Linked DNA regions of Ovis aries. The protein of the gene in region 1 purifies or fractionates together with the protein of each later gene. This does not show direct contact. Links are inferred from orthologs where the notes say so. Each region holds a gene or a part of one and is shown on either strand. Other genes may lie near its edges.

Evidence for each region.
Region 2: the proteins of PRDM16 (region 1) and CTBP1 purify together in Homo sapiens (affinity purification with mass spectrometry; 3 studies listed by BioGRID and IntAct, with this or other methods). This does not show direct contact. The link is inferred for Ovis aries from reciprocal best matches to the Homo sapiens genes PRDM16 and CTBP1.

What each region holds. Positions count from the first base shown.
Region 1 is NC_056065.1:48,988,726-48,996,126, reverse strand, and holds part of PRDM16 (histone-lysine N-methyltransferase PRDM16), read left to right. Parts: intron 1-188; coding exon 189-336; intron 337-790; coding exon 791-944; intron 945-4,818; coding exon 4,819-6,232; intron 6,233-7,401. UniProt on the Homo sapiens protein: Binds DNA and functions as a transcriptional regulator. Displays histone methyltransferase activity and monomethylates 'Lys-9' of histone H3 (H3K9me1) in vitro.
Region 2 is NC_056059.1:117,908,538-117,915,938, reverse strand, and holds part of CTBP1 (C-terminal-binding protein 1), read right to left. Parts: intron 5,985-7,401; coding exon 5,840-5,984; intron 4,560-5,839; coding exon 4,353-4,559; intron 2,869-4,352; coding exon 2,654-2,868; intron 1,758-2,653; coding exon 1,627-1,757; intron 1,080-1,626; coding exon 952-1,079; intron 412-951; coding exon 294-411; intron 71-293; coding exon 1-70. UniProt on the Homo sapiens protein: Corepressor targeting diverse transcription regulators such as GLIS2 or BCL6. Has dehydrogenase activity. Involved in controlling the equilibrium between tubular and stacked structures in the Golgi complex.

The DNA.
Region 1 (7,401 bases):
TCCCCCTGCCATCCAACGTGGGAAGGCCGTGTCTGCTGGTGCACGCAGTGCCCTGTCCAGGCAGGAGGCAGACAGACTGGCTGCCAGGCCTCTCTCCGCTCTGGGAACAGGAGGTGGCAGGGGCTCTGAGGGGCGGGGAGGAGGCCCTACCCTCCGGGCCCCTGCTGATCCTGGTCTCCCATGTGCAGCTTGGAGCAGCACATGGTCGTCCACACGGAGGAGCGAGAGTACAAGTGTGACCAGTGTCCCAAGGCCTTCAACTGGAAGTCCAACCTTATCCGCCACCAGATGTCCCACGACAGCGGCAAGCGCTTCGAATGTGAAAACTGCGTGAAGGTAACCGGGCTCACCCCGCCGGCCCCACCCGAGCCAAGACACAGAGCACGCGTGGGGACCACGGGCCCCCAGTCATTCGAGAGGAAGACAGGAAGTGTGCAGCGCTGCGCAATGGGGAAGGAGAGGGCGGCCAGACCAGGTCCTCTCGGGTTCCCACCTACATGGCAGGACAGACTCCTGGGTCAAAGACCTGGAGCTTAAAGCTTCTGAGCTCCTGTCTGGAGCACCCTCAGGGCCACAGTTCTCTCGAGAATTATTATTGAAGAACCAGAGTCCAGAGAGGCCTGACAGCCCACCTAAGGCCATCTAGCATGTCACTGCCCCAGCAGAGACTGGTCTGGCCAGGCTCAGGGCGGTGGGCAGAGCCCCCAGAGAGACCCCCATCCCGTGACCTGACCCGGGGTCCACAGGGAGCGACCGACAGAATGTGACGCGCCGGAGTCTGTGTCCCCAGGTGTTCACGGACCCCAGCAACCTGCAGCGACACATCCGCTCTCAGCACGTGGGCGCCCGGGCCCACGCCTGCCCAGACTGCGGGAAGACCTTCGCCACCTCCTCGGGCCTCAAGCAGCACAAGCACATCCACAGCACCGTCAAACCTTTCATATGTGAGTGAGGGCCCGCCCGGCCCCGCCCAGCTCCCTCCCAGCGTGCCCAGGGTGGGCGTGCTTGGGGGTCAGCCAGGGGGCGAAGTCCTCAGGCTCTTCCCTGCTTGTGGGACCCCATCTGTCCAGAAAATACTTGCGGCAGCTGCCAATCCCTCTGCCCAGGGGTGGCTGCCTCCTGGCGCCACTTTATCATTACCCTGCTCCCTCGCACGCTTTTACTCTGGGATCCATTTTGCTCTGGCCTCACTTTCCCCTCTTGCGCCCCTTGGGTCCTCCCTGTGGCTCACTCGTCCAGTGGCTACAGGTGGGCAGTGGGTAGTGAAGATCCCTGTGGTCCTGCAGAGAAGGACCTGCAACTTACCTTTTCCCTCCGTGCCTCCCCTTCCCCACCCCACACGGGCTGCCCAGAGCTCCAGCAGGTGTGATAATATCAGTGCTTCCCACTCACCTGCAGCCTTTGGGGACCCCAGGCTGCATGCCTGTGCTAACCTGGGTGGCAGGGGCCAGCCATGAATAACTGGACCCCTGTCCACATGCCGTTGACCTGCCAGTGGAGGAGATGGAAGCTAAACCATCACCAGGGTGGGAGGAGGGCTGGAGGGTCAGGAGGCTCTCCAGGTGCCCAAGTAGGTGTCATCTGGCCCATATGCTGGGAGGTGGGATGGTCTATGAGTGACCCAAGTTCTGGCAGAGAGCTCGAGGAGGTGGGCAGGGGGTGGGGTGAGAACGACGGGGTGCCTGCCAAGAAGGCTCATGACAGGGCACTGTGAGCACAGAAGCCTTGAGCTTGTGGTGTGTCTGGGGAGGGAAGTAATAGGAGAGGAGTCAGAGGTCACAGGGTTAGGTCCTGGGAATCTAGTGGGCCAATGCAGGAGCATGACCCTACTTCTCAGAGTTTAGGAGATATTGAAGGTTCTTCTGTCTAGCACTGCACCAAGTCATCTCACTTGAGATTGTGCTGAGTCACTGTTCACACCAACACAAAGCTGACTCATCAGCCAGCGTAACTCACCAGCATTGTCCTGGCTCATGGTTCACACCAGCATCCTGCTGAGTCAGCATTCACAGGACCTTGACCTAATTCATTGTTCACACCAGCATTGCACTGGGAGTCATTCACATAAGATTGTGCTGAGTCACTGTTCACACCAACACAGAGCTGACTCATCAGCCAGCTTAACTCACCAGTGTTGTCCTGACTCATAGTTCGCACCAGTATTCTGCTGAGTCAGCATCACACCAGCTCGTCCCGACTCATCCTCCACATCAGCACCACACTAAGGGTCATTCACATAAGATTGCGCTGAGTCATTCTCCACATGAGGTTGTGCTGAGCCATCATTTTACACACATGAGTTCACAGCACCCTTACAAAACCTGACGGACCAGGGACCACACTGTGCCCAACCAAAGGGAAGTGACAGGGAAGGAAACAGTCTTGGCAGTGTGAAGTGACCAGGCCTTTGAGGCCCCGCTGCAGCTCCAGGGGCCTGGCTGCTGACCCCAGGCTGGGTGGCCTGGTACCTCTCGGGTCCCAGCACATCAATGTTGGGGGTGGGAGGAGCTAACTCTGGGAACTTGAGGACTTGGGTCTCAGTGGTTTCACCAATGTGGGGGTCTCACAGGACTGGACTGCTCCCCCAAAGAGGCCATACTTTCTGGCTGGTCAGGCCTTTGTTGAGTAGCTGGGGCTGTGCTCACCTCCTGCCCACTGCCCTGAACCTAGGCTTCCAGCTATCTTGCTAGAGGTGACTGAGCCCCCATCTCACCTGGGTCACCCACTCCCTCAGTCAGGGAAATGCACTTCTTGAGAGTGAGTTTGTGTGTGTGTGTGCACATCCTCTACAGGAAAAGAAACTGCTGGCCAGCACAAGCACTGGCCAGGGTCCCTCTGCGTCCCGCAGGGCACGGGTACGCTCCACCAGGCACTGGTCCCATGTCCAGCTCATGGTGGGCTGCTTGGGCCTTTCCCAGCCCCTGCAGGAAGCCAGCTCCCTTCGCCAGATCTGCCAGCCATCACAGGACCAGGACCCACCTCGCCAGGGACCTCAGTCTCCCAGAGGCCTCTCTGTAGCCCCAGCATTTCATCAGGACCCTTTTCTCGTGTAACTGGGTGGATGGGAAGCAAAGGTCCCAGGCTCCCTTCACCCAGGCATGGCCACTGGTCCCCGAGCCACCCCCACCACACACACCGGGAGTTGCCCTGGGAGGGTGCCATTTCCAAGCTCAGGATGGCAGAAGCCACTGATGAGGTACCACGGAGCCCCACTGTGGGGGACGGAGGGCGTCACTGAGCCTCTGCAAGGGCCGGGAACGTAGCAAGGTGTCACTCGTCTGGCCAGGAGCCCTGAGCCAGGGAGTGGCCTCTCTTCCCTCGAGGGTCGGCAGGCGGCCTGAGGGTATTTATAGACCTTCCCGAGGAGCAGCGGCCCCTCTGCACCAGCCTCCTCCCAAAAAGGGCAGATTTGATTAAACGAGGCAGTGCTCTTCCCCCTCAGCCTTGAAAACGTCCCGCCAAGCCAGACAGCCAGGAAGGCAGAGCCGTTAATATAAATAGATATTGTGATTAAAGAGCACGATCAGCTCGGGGCCAGCGCTCCCAGCGAGATTCGCATGACATCAGGCCACGAGAGTGTGAGGAGAGCGAGAAACACGTTGAAATCATTGTTTCCACGGGGGCTGCATTTAGAAAGCAAATCGTCCTGCAGAGAGAGAGAGACAGACAGTGTGTGTGTGTGTGTGTGTGTGTGTGTGTGTGTGTGTGTGTGTGTGTGTGTTCCTCTGTTGCTGGTTAGGAAAACAAGAAGAGAAAGAAAAACTGGAGGTTGGCCGACACTCAGCTCACCATTGGGAAAATGGTGAGACTGGGTCGCCAGGGCCTGCAGGGCCTGCCGTTCGGCTCTCACCGCCACCCTCTCCTGTTACCCACAGAGCTGGAGCAGCCTTTCCATCCCAGTCTGGGGAGGTCTCACTTTTCTCAGATGTGGAACCAGCCCCCTCGGGGGCTCCCCTCCCACCTCCACCTTCTAGCCACCCCCAGACTCTGATCTCACAGCCAGAAGCTCTGCTTCCAGGCCTGGGGATTAAGAACCCCAAGGGGCTGGTCGCTCCTGAGGCCTCCCTGTCCTGGGAGGCAGGGCTGGAGGCAGAACGAGGGGGGAAGCTGAGAGCATTTTAAACCTTAGAAGTGGGCGGCCTAGCCCAGGGGGTGTTGTTTTACTCGCTTCTGCTGGAACAGTGTGGCTGGCATGGTAGGGAGACCTGGTGGGGAGTCTGGATGGGCAGGTGCAGCTGCCTACATGAGGGTATGCCGTGTCTTTGCCCGTCTCTGGGAGCAACTTTGAAGACCTCAGTCCCACCTGACAAACTCATGGGATCAGGAGAACACAGAGCAGCAGGGCCCATTCTCCAGTGGAGAAGGCTGAAGTGGGTAGAGATCTACCCAGGCCACCCAGGGACCCCAGGGGAGGCACAGGGACATCGTCACCAATCCATTTTGGTCACCAGAGACCAATCCCAGGGAAGGGTGCGTGTGCGTAGATGTGTGCAAGTACATGTGATGACACAGTTAGAGTGCAACGTGTTTGTGAACATACACACTCATGCATGACACGCTCATGTACATAAGCGCACGTGCCCATAGACCTGTGTGCATATCTACATGCATGCACACTCCTGAGCGCACATGCAGGCGCTCATACCCAGTGATGCACGCATGCACACACATGTGCACACACGCACTCACACACACACACACACACATCCAGGCGCACGCCACTCCAGGCACCCGGCCGGACCCCCGGTGCCCCAGCCCCGGGCAGTGCGGGCCCCCGCCGCCTCCGCTCACGCCGCTGTCTCTGCCCTGCCGCCCCAGGTGAGGTCTGCCACAAGTCGTACACGCAGTTCTCCAACCTGTGCCGCCACAAGCGCATGCACGCGGACTGCCGCACGCAGATCAAGTGCAAGGACTGCGGGCAGATGTTCAGCACTACCTCGTCCCTCAACAAGCACCGGCGCTTCTGCGAGGGCAAGAACCATTACCCGCCGGGAGGCATCTTCGCACCCGGCCTGCCCCTGACCCCCAGCCCCTTGATGGACAAGGCCAAGCCACCCCCCGGTCTCAACCATGCCGGCCTGGGCTTCGGCGAGTACTTCCCCTCCAGGCCGCACCCCGGGAGCCTGCCCTTCTCCGCGGCACCCCCCAGCTTCCCCACGCTCACGCCCGGCTTCCCGGGTATCTTCCCTCCATCCCTGTACCCCCGGCCGCCTCTGCTACCTCCTACGCCGCTGCTCAAGAGCCCCCTGAACCACACGCAGGACGCCAAGCTCCCTAGCCCCCTGGGGAACCCGGCCCTGCCCCTTGTCTCCGCTGTCAGCAACAGTAGCCAGAGCACCACAGCGGCCGCGGGGCCCGAGGAGAAGCTGGAGGGCCACCTGGAGGAGGCGTATGCCACCAAGCTCAAGCCCCGGGGCAGCGACCTGTCAGACGGCAGCGACTTCGAGGACATCAACACCACGACTGGGACCGACCTGGACACGACCACGGGAACAGGCTCCGACCTAGACAGCGATGTGGATAGTGACCGTGACAAGACCAAGGACAAGGGCAAGGCGGCCGAGGGCAAGCCAGAGTTCGGGGGCAGCACGGTGCCCCCAGGCGCCCCCAACAGTGTGGGCGAGGTTCCCGTCTTCTACTCCCAGCACTTCTTCCCGCCGCCCCAGGAGCAGCTGCTGACAGCGTCAGGCGCGGCAGGCGACTCCATCAAGGCCATCGCGTCCATCGCTGAGAAGTACTTCGGGCCCGGCTTCATGGGCGTACCGGAGAAGAAGCTGGGCGCGCTGCCCTACCACTCCGTGTTCCCCTTCCAGTTCCTGCCCCACCTCCCTCACTCCCTGTACCCCTTCACGGACCGTGCCCTCACCCACAACCTGCTGGTCAAGGCCGAGCCAAAGTCGCCCCGGGACGCCCTCAAGGCTGGCGGCCCCAGTGCCGAGTCCCCCTTTGACCTCACCACCAAACCCAAAGAGGCCAAGCCCATCCTGCCGGCGCCCAAGGTGCCCCCAGCCCCAGTGTCTGGTGAGGAGCAGCCACTGGACCTGAGCATTGGCAGCCGTGCACGGGCCAGCCAGAACGGAGGGACCCGGGAGCCCCGCAAGAACCACGTGTACGGCGAGCGCAGGCTGGGGCCCAGCGAGGGGCTGCCCAAGGCATGCCCGGCCCAGCTGCCCCAGCAGCCACCCCTGCACTACGCCAAGCCATCGCCCTTCTTCATGGACCCCATCTACAGGTATTCACACGCTCCGCCCTCACGTGCTCTCCCTGGGGACCACCTCCCCTGCTCCCCCAAGCTTTGTCCCCCTGTCTTTGCAGCTTCAGGAGGTGCTTTGGCTCTGGGCAGGGAGGGGTCTGTGCTGCTTTGAAGTCCAGGCCCGGCTCGGCCCTTTCCTAGGGTGGGCGCCTGGCAGGGTCTTCTGGGCACACTTGGCTCCCTTTCTCAGATGCCACTGGGAAACGCACTGCCCTCCCTTGAACCCTGCCCCCAGCCTGCCCTCAGACTCCACCCCAGAGGCCCGCCTGCTGGTGTCTCCCGCCTCCCTGTCTGGACCGACTCTGCCTCCCAGGACACTCCTGGCTGTTAGGTCTGCTCCAGCATCTCTGCTTCCCTGCGACTGCCCTGTGGCCCCTACACGGGCCCCGCCCCTCTCCAGAGCCACAGCTGGGGTTCCTGTTGGCCTAGGGGCGATCAGAGGAGCCACTTATCCCCAGAGGGAGGAGGTGGAGGGAGAGAGGTGAAAGCTCTGGAAGGTTTGCAAAACATCAGCGTTCCAGCCCTCTGATAGACCTTCTGGTGAGGGGCCAACTGATTCCCCCTCCCCAGTTTCTGAGCAGGCTTTGATCAGGGGGTTTTGGCCCCCATTGCACGTGTCCCAGGGTGCTGGGAAGGCTGAGCCCTCAGGAGGGAGCTGTGCCCATGGGCGGGCCTGGAGGGGCCTGGAGGGGCAGGCAGGTGTGGTGCTTCAGCCACTATTACAGGCCCATGGTTCTGTGTGGGAGGGGCCCGTGCACACAGGTGAGTGTGTCTACATGGGAATGCAGAGAGCATGTGGCCACTCTGAGGGCTCATGGGAAGCACAGGGACCAGGCAGGGCCTGGGGATGGGTGTGTAAGTGAGGTCACCCCTGCAAAGGTGCAGCGGGAGGAATGATGGCAGGGTTGCCAGCAACAGGAAGGAGGGAGCATGGACCAGCCTCCTGCTCTGCCCTCCTCACCCACCCAGGTCCCCCCGCTCTGCGCTCACCCAGGGCCCTGGCTGGCCTGTGTCTGTAGCTGGTTCCATTTCCTGCCAGGTCTTGGCGTTGTCATCACAGGAAACCTGAAAAATGGTCCCTTGGGTGTTTCTTTAAAAACACACCATCCACAGATGGTTTGAGAAAGTGATCAGAGGCCTGTCACCAC
Region 2 (7,401 bases), on another chromosome or scaffold:
GGGGACGATGCCCTCCACGGCGGCCGGGATGCCGCTGGGAGCCACGCCCACCACGCCCGGGGGGTACCTGCTGGGGGAGGAGGCGGCGCATGAGCCCGGGGCCGCCCCGTCCCAAGGCCGCCTGCCGGGTGCCCCGTCCAGTGTCCAGTCCCGCCCCGCTCCGTGCAGCCGAGACCCAGGACGGCGCCCCATCCACCACCCCGAAGGCTGCCGCCTGCTCGGGCGCGCGTGCCCCAGCTGCCCAGGGCCTCGGGGGCCCGGTGAGCACACGGCCGGCCCAGAGCCCCGCTTACCTGTAGGCGGCCCCATTGAGCTCGGGGTGCACCACGGCGGGGTCCACGCTGGCCCAGTGGGTGGCGGCTGCCAGGTGGTCCTTGTTGACGCAGTTTTTCAGGCTGTCAGGGATCCGGCCTGAGAAGCGCGAGGGGGGCGGGGGCGGGGGGGGGGCAAAAGATGGGGCCTGCTCCGGAAGCCGCCAGGGCCCGGTGAGGCTCTGATCGGGAAGGGGCCACCCCCGCAGGCGCACAACCCTCAGGCAGAGCGGGCTGCGCCTGTCTGGGCAGGGTCCCCCTTGAAGCTCAGGGACCCCCAGCCTCAGGCGGGTGACCTCAGCTCACTGGTGCCTGCTCAGACCAGAGGTTTCAGAGCTGATGGGCCCGCCCAGGAAGCTCGCACACAGACTTCGTCAAAGGTTAGGAGAAAGACACACGAGCTGACACCCCCAGGACAGCGAAGGCGGGTCAGAGACACGAAGCCAAGAACCCCTGCGTTCAGGGTCTGCGGCGTGGAAACGTCAGGCCCTGCTGGGTCTTGTCTCCTTCCGCGCCCAACCTGTGCCGCGCCCAACCTGTGCCCCGCCCCCAAGGCCCCCACAGGAGCCTGGGCCCCCCACTCCCACGCCCCCCACCCCCTCACCCCGCCAGCAGACGGACGCAGCCCCGCCCCGCCTACCTGTGATGGCTCGCCGGATCTCCCTGGCCGCCTCCTCACGCATCTCGATGGAGGCCTGCTCGCTGTACCAGGCCGCATGCGGGGTGCAGATCAGGTTGGGCGCGTCCTTCAAGGGGCCCTGGCTAAAGCTGCAAAGAGGTCAGAGGCTAAAGGTCAGAGCCTGACCCTGGCCACAGCCCACCCCCACTTGTCAGATCTGCCCAGCCCCTCCCTGACCACAGCGGGGAGGGTCTCAACTGGGGACACGCCCAGCCCCCTGTAGGTGATTTGAGCTCTCAGACCTGGGGCCCCTGAACACCCCTGCAGGCTCCACGGGTGAGGACCGCCCCCCCCAGGCCCTGCTGCCCGACAGCCTCTCGGCCGGGGCATCTATACACAGCCACCTGGGGGCCAGCGGCCTTGGACACTTGGCAGGGGGCCCTGGTCTCAGCCCTCCCCCTCCCCCAAGTGCAGGACCTGGGGCTGTCCTGGCCCGCAGAGCTGAGCTCCCCTCCCGCCGAGACCTGGCTTGGCCCTGGAGGAAGGTCTACCCTAGGCCAAGCTCAGGCTGGCCAAAGACAGGGCCAGGAGGCCGCGTGTGGGCATGGCCCCACCCCAACCAGGCCAGCCCAGGCTAGCGCAGCGCAGGAGCCACGCGGGCCCCACGCTGGGGGCCCCAGGAGCGGCGGGAGGCACCTGAAGGGCTCTGACTCGTGCACGTCCAGGGCCGCGCCGCGGATCCGCCCCTCCTTCAGGGCCTGGGCCAGCGCCTTCTCGTCGACCAGGCCTCCCCGGGCCGTGTTCACCAGGAAGGCCCCTTGCCTCATCTGGGAAGGACAGACAGTGGGCCTGAAGACGCCCCCTCACTGGTGCTGTGGAGGAGGCTCCCCCTGCTCCGAGATGGGGCACTGCCTGTGACCCCGCTTTCACCGCAGGGCTCTTCCCTGGTAGGCTCCTGTCTGTCCAGGTCTCATTGGTTCTCACGGATGGCACGGCCTGACCAACCCCCCGACCCCTGGAGGCCAGCCCAGCCTGTGGGAACAGTGTCCGGCCTCCCCCTCCACAGGGCTGGGGGCGTGGGGCAGACAACAGTCACAGCTCCACGTGTGCGCACAAGAATGTGCCGGCACTCCCACGCGCACACGTGTGCACACGCAGAAACATATGTAACCACGCGTGCGTGTGTCCGCACGTGCGTGACAGTCGCTCGGTCGTGTCTGACTCTTTGCGACCCCATGGACTATAGAGTCCATGGAATTCTCCAGACCAGAACACTGGAGTGGGTAGCCTTTCCCTTCTCCAGGGGATCTTCCCAACCCAGGGACAAGGTCTCCCGCACTGCAGGCGGATTCTTTACCAGCTGAGCCACAAGGGAAGCCCAACCATGTGTGCGTGTGTGTGTACACGTGTGGACAGACACAAGCCTAGAAACATGGACACACACACATCTATACAACCCACGTGCACACACGTGGAGGGCCACTGCCATCCAAACTTGCCCACACCCAGGTGTGTGCACTGCACGCGCTCGCAACACAGAAGCCTGTGCGCACACAGTCACTCGAAAGGCCCGGGACCCAGGAGGGGCCCGGCTCGGCCCGCCCCCCGCCCCGCCCCGCCCCGCCCCCGGCTCGGCCCGCCCCCCGCCCCGCCGGGCCCCGCCCCGCCCCCGGCGGGCCCCGCCCCGCCCCGCCCCGCCCCCGGCGGGCCCGCGGGCGCAGACCTGCTTGACGGTGAAGTCGTTGATGAGGTGGTGGTTGTGCTCGTTGAGGCCGCAGTGCAGGGTCACGCAGTCGCTGTGGAAGAGCAGGTCCTGCAGCGTGCTGACCCGCTGCAGCCCCAGGGCTCGCTCTGTGCCGTCCGCCAGGTAGGGGTCGTAGAAGAGCACGTTGAAGCCGAAAGCCTTGGCCCGCAGTGCCACCGCCTGCCCCACACGCCCTAGGGGGAAACGGGCGTCACCCCATGCGCTTGACCCCAGAGGCCAGGCAGTGGGCGCGTGGGAGACGAGGTTTCAGGGAGAAGGGCTGGGGCCCTGGGAGCACAGGCACCCAGCAGTCCAGCGGACCTGCCACAGGCAGCGCCGAAGCGGCTGGAGCAGCCACGGGCTCTGCGGGCGGGCGATGCAGGCCAGGAGCCCCCGCTCGGCCACTGCACTGCGGCACCCGGCTCCTCAAACCCAGGGAAGCCTAAAGAGGGCTTCCGTTTTCACGGACAAATGTGGAGAGTGCAACTGTGTGTCCGGCAGCTGCCCCTGCACGGGTCTTGGGTCCCTGGGAGCTGCACGCAGCGCCTCAGTGTGGAGCCACCCCAGCTGCAACCCTGGGCTCTGCAAGCGGCACAGGCACCGAGATCCCCACTTCAGCTCATGCCACCGGGGCCACCGCTCTGCTTTCAGGCCAAGGGAACCGGCACACAGGCTCTGGGGGTCCCTAGAGGGGCGCGGGGAGGGCTGGAGCACCCAGCCAGGGCCGGGGTCCCCAGGGCCGGTCTGACGGCCTCCAAGGACAACCAGGAGCCGGTTAGGATGCGGCCTCCAGGGCCTGACCACCCAGCAATGTCTGCACCAGCACTGCCTAGATGGGATGTGGCCCCAAACCCACCCGCCAGGAACATAACCCTGCACCCCTTCCTCCTCCTCCACCACACCGAGAGGGCCCACCGGCCTCACTCTGGCTGGTTCCGGGCACAGGGGCCCCGTTGCTGAGTGTAGGGTGCTTGCACAGCTATGGGGCTCTGACCAGCCCAGTGTCTGTGTGAGCAGTCCAGCAGGACAGCAAGTCACATCAGGAGTGGGCTGTCCCCACGTCTTCAGACGCCCGTGGTCCTGACCTGAGCTAACGCAGGTGCGTCTCTGCCCTGCAGCTCCCCACGGCTGCACAGCGGGGGCCTCTGCTGTGGAGAACCCTGGGGATCACAGATGGGATGCCCCCAGGCAGGGCAGGCTGCTCCGCCTACACTCTCCCTCCCCCGCTTCCTCAGCCCCCGAGGCCCGACCCACTCGCCTTGCCCCAGCACGCCTCTGCTCCCTGGTCTGCTACCTGGGCCCAGGGCGCTGGCCAGCAGGGCACGAGAGCAAGCGAGGGGGGCAGCAAGCAGCCTCCCTCCACCCCGGACAGGACTCAGGGCGGGCCCCTCGCCCCCACCTCACAGCCCTGAGCATTCAGCAGGTTGAGCGGGCATGAGCATGGACGCCCACAGGCCACGCATGACCCCGGCCACAGAGCAGATGTGACCCCGCTCCTGAGGGCACTTAGCACCTGGGTGGGCGTGTGGCCCCGCCTGCTGCTCCTGGGGCAGCTAAGAGACCCAGCCACCCAGCGCTGCTCCGTGGCTGGACAGCCATCCCAGGCCGGGGACCTGCCAACAGCCCGGCCCGGCCGGCCTCTCCGTCCACAGGCGGCTGCAGGCAGAGGCCAGCGCACCTAGTCCGATGACGCCCAGGGTCTCGCCGCGGATCCTGGCGGCCCCGGAGGCCACCTCCCGGATCTGCTCGACGCTCTGGACGCGTGTGCCCTCCCGCAGCGCCTGGTGCAGCCACGCGGTCCTGCGGTACAGGTTGAGAATGTGGCACACGGTGGAGTCGGCGGTCTCCTCCACGGACGCGGCCGGCACGTTGCAGACGGCAATTCCTGGAGATGCAAGGCACGCGGGGCGGTCACTGGGATGGTCTCGGGTGTCACCTGGGACAGGCCCAGGGACACGTCCTGGCCTGAAGGCCGAAGATCAAGGCAGGTTACCTGCCCCTGCCCTGGACCCCCAGCCACTGGACCCTCCTGGAATGGGTCTCAGCCAGGCCACTCTTCCCCAAGCAGCAGCCTCCCCTGCTCCTCCCCCCGCTGCCCCTCAGCATAAGGGAGGACGAGGGCGGGGGCGGGGTGGTTGGGGGGGGGCACGTGGTGCACGGAAAACTGAGCAGGAGGAGCTGGAGTCCCCATCAGACTCGGAAAGAAGGCGGCGCCCAACAGAGACCAGGCCCTGCAGGACTTCAGACATCCCTGCAAGAAGGATGCAGCCCCAGCTGGTGAAATCGAAAGGCAGAGGACCACCTCCGTCAGCAGGCACGAGGCCCAGGGACACGCCAGCTCAGAAAGCACCCAGCCTGCCGGGCGGCAGTGGGGTGGATGCTGTGTGGGGACAGGAGAGGGCGGGGTAGGCGCCGGGGGGACGGGAGACGGGGCAGGGGGTGGGTGGATGCTGGGGGGACGGAAGATGGGGAGGTGGGCGTTCCGTGGAGATGGGAGATGGGGGGTGGGCACTGGGGGGACAGAGCTCAGCGGGCACAGGCAGGGTGGACCGAGACGCATGGCTGCTGCCGGTGCAAGCGACTCTTTCTGCAGTTCTGAGCTGTCAGGGACCAGGTGCCGTGGCTGAGTGAGTCCCAGCCTCCCGCAAGGCGGTGACCAACTCAAAGGGGACCGAGAGGCCGCGGCCGAGCAGCACTGCAGGCAGGAACTTCCCAACAGAGCCCGAGGAAGTCTGTTCGCAGGTGCGAGGCACACACGTGTGCTCGAGCGTGCGGGCACACGAGCACACGCACATCCCCATAGGCACACCAGCGTGTACGCACTCCCAGGTGTCCTGACTCACAGCAGAAACTTCCTTCCTGGCCCCTCTAGTGAACAGGGCTGTGAGAACCCCGGCCCAGGCCTGCTGGCCGCCCCTGGATGAGGCCCCTGCCTGGGTCCTGGGGGGGTTCCGCAGGAGGGTGGGTGCGCTGCCGGAGGCCCAGGCCTCCTGAGGGATGGTGCCGCCAGCCCACGCCTGCCCGAGGGGAGCTGGCGCGGGGCCCACATGCGGAGAGCCGCGTGGACCCTGGCCCCCAGGCCCCCTCCGCGCGGCGGACTGAAAGCAGCGAGGCCGTGCCCAGGGCGACAGGCAGGGCTGCGGGGTAGGGCCCCGAGCGGCCTACCTAGGTCCCCAGCCGACTTGATGTCAATGTTGTCGAAGCCGCTGCCGATGCGCACGATTATTCGCAGAGCCTTGAACTTCTCCAGGTCCTCCCTGGTCAGCGTGATGGTGTGGTACATCAGCGCGCCCACGGCCTCGTTCAGGACCTGCAGCGAGGGCAGCGTGCTGACTGGCGCTGCCCCGAGCAGCCTGCGCCCCCGTGGGCACAGCAGGCTGTCTGGGTGGGAGGCCGCCCGGTCCCCGCACGAGCACCTGCTGTGACCCGAGGGTGACGGCGACCCAGCAGACACGCCAAGGACACCTGCCGGGTCGACAGAGGACGGGGCTCGCCTGACTGACACAGGGAGGTGGGGAGGGGGCTGCCCTCTCCCTGGGCACTGGACGCCCCAACAGATGGAAAACAAGGGCACTGGGAGGACCTGAGACCCCCAGAACCAGCGATGGCGGGGGGGAGCCATGCCGCCATGCACGACCCGCTCCCAGAAGAGGAGCTGCCGCGGGGCAGGGCACACGGCACCCTTTCACACCGGGAGGGGCAGACGTGGTCACCCCTCACCGTCACTGAGCGGGCCGCTCCCCCAGGAAGGGTTGGGGAGCGGCTGCAGCCTGAGGCCTCTGTCCTGGGCACCACGGACCTTGGGGGTGGCCTCCCCTGGCCCCGCACTGGAGGGGCGTCGAGTGCGGGCACAGGTTTTATGTGCGCTCAGCCAAGAGGCTGGCCTGGCCAGTGCAGACCCTGCGGGGGGCCTGCCAGCTCGGCCTCTACCCCGCGGAGCGTGGCTGGGACATCACCCTCCCCACGGGGGCTCAGGATGCCTGCGGGGACAGGGTGTGCATGTCTCAGCAGGGCTGCCCCAGGTGAGGCCCACATCAGCAGATAGCTGCCAGGGTCTCCCAAGAGCATGGCGCACAGTCCTCCCCACCCGAGGGGTCTGCTCGCGCTGCGCCCCAGCAAAGCCCCTACCTGCATGCGTGCACAGCCCCACCCACCCCACCGCTGGCTGAACCCAACGTGCTGCCAGCACCGGCCACCAGCGGGACGTGCCTGGCTGGGGGTGAGGGGCCACAGCCCAGGGCCAGGAAGGAGGGTCCGCTCCAGATGTGCTCTGAACAGCCAGGGACCTACCAGGTCTCTCTCTGGACCCGAGGGCGGGGCCCCAGAACTGGGCCACCTGGACCCAATGCATCACAGACTCCAGGACCTGCTGCAGCTGGGGACCCGGTTCATCCCTCCCTAACGGGCTGGTACAATCCACATCTCAGAGGCCACAGGGAGCCCATGGAAGCCCGGCCACAGCTGGGGACCCAGTTTATCCCCTGCTAATGGGCCGGTACAATTCGCGATGTCTCAGAGGCCATGGGGTGCCCACGGGACCTGTCGGCCACCCTCTCCTCTCTGGACGGAGCACCCCGTGCTGACCCGGGGTCCCTGGGAGGGTGGAGGCTGCTGGACTCCCAGGGCCGCAAGGGGCCGAGGCAGCGGCCGGCCTGCAGCAGACGCAGCGAGTGCAGGGTGTGGGCGCTGAGAGGGGACCCTGGGCAGGAGCCGGCAGCCTGTCAGAC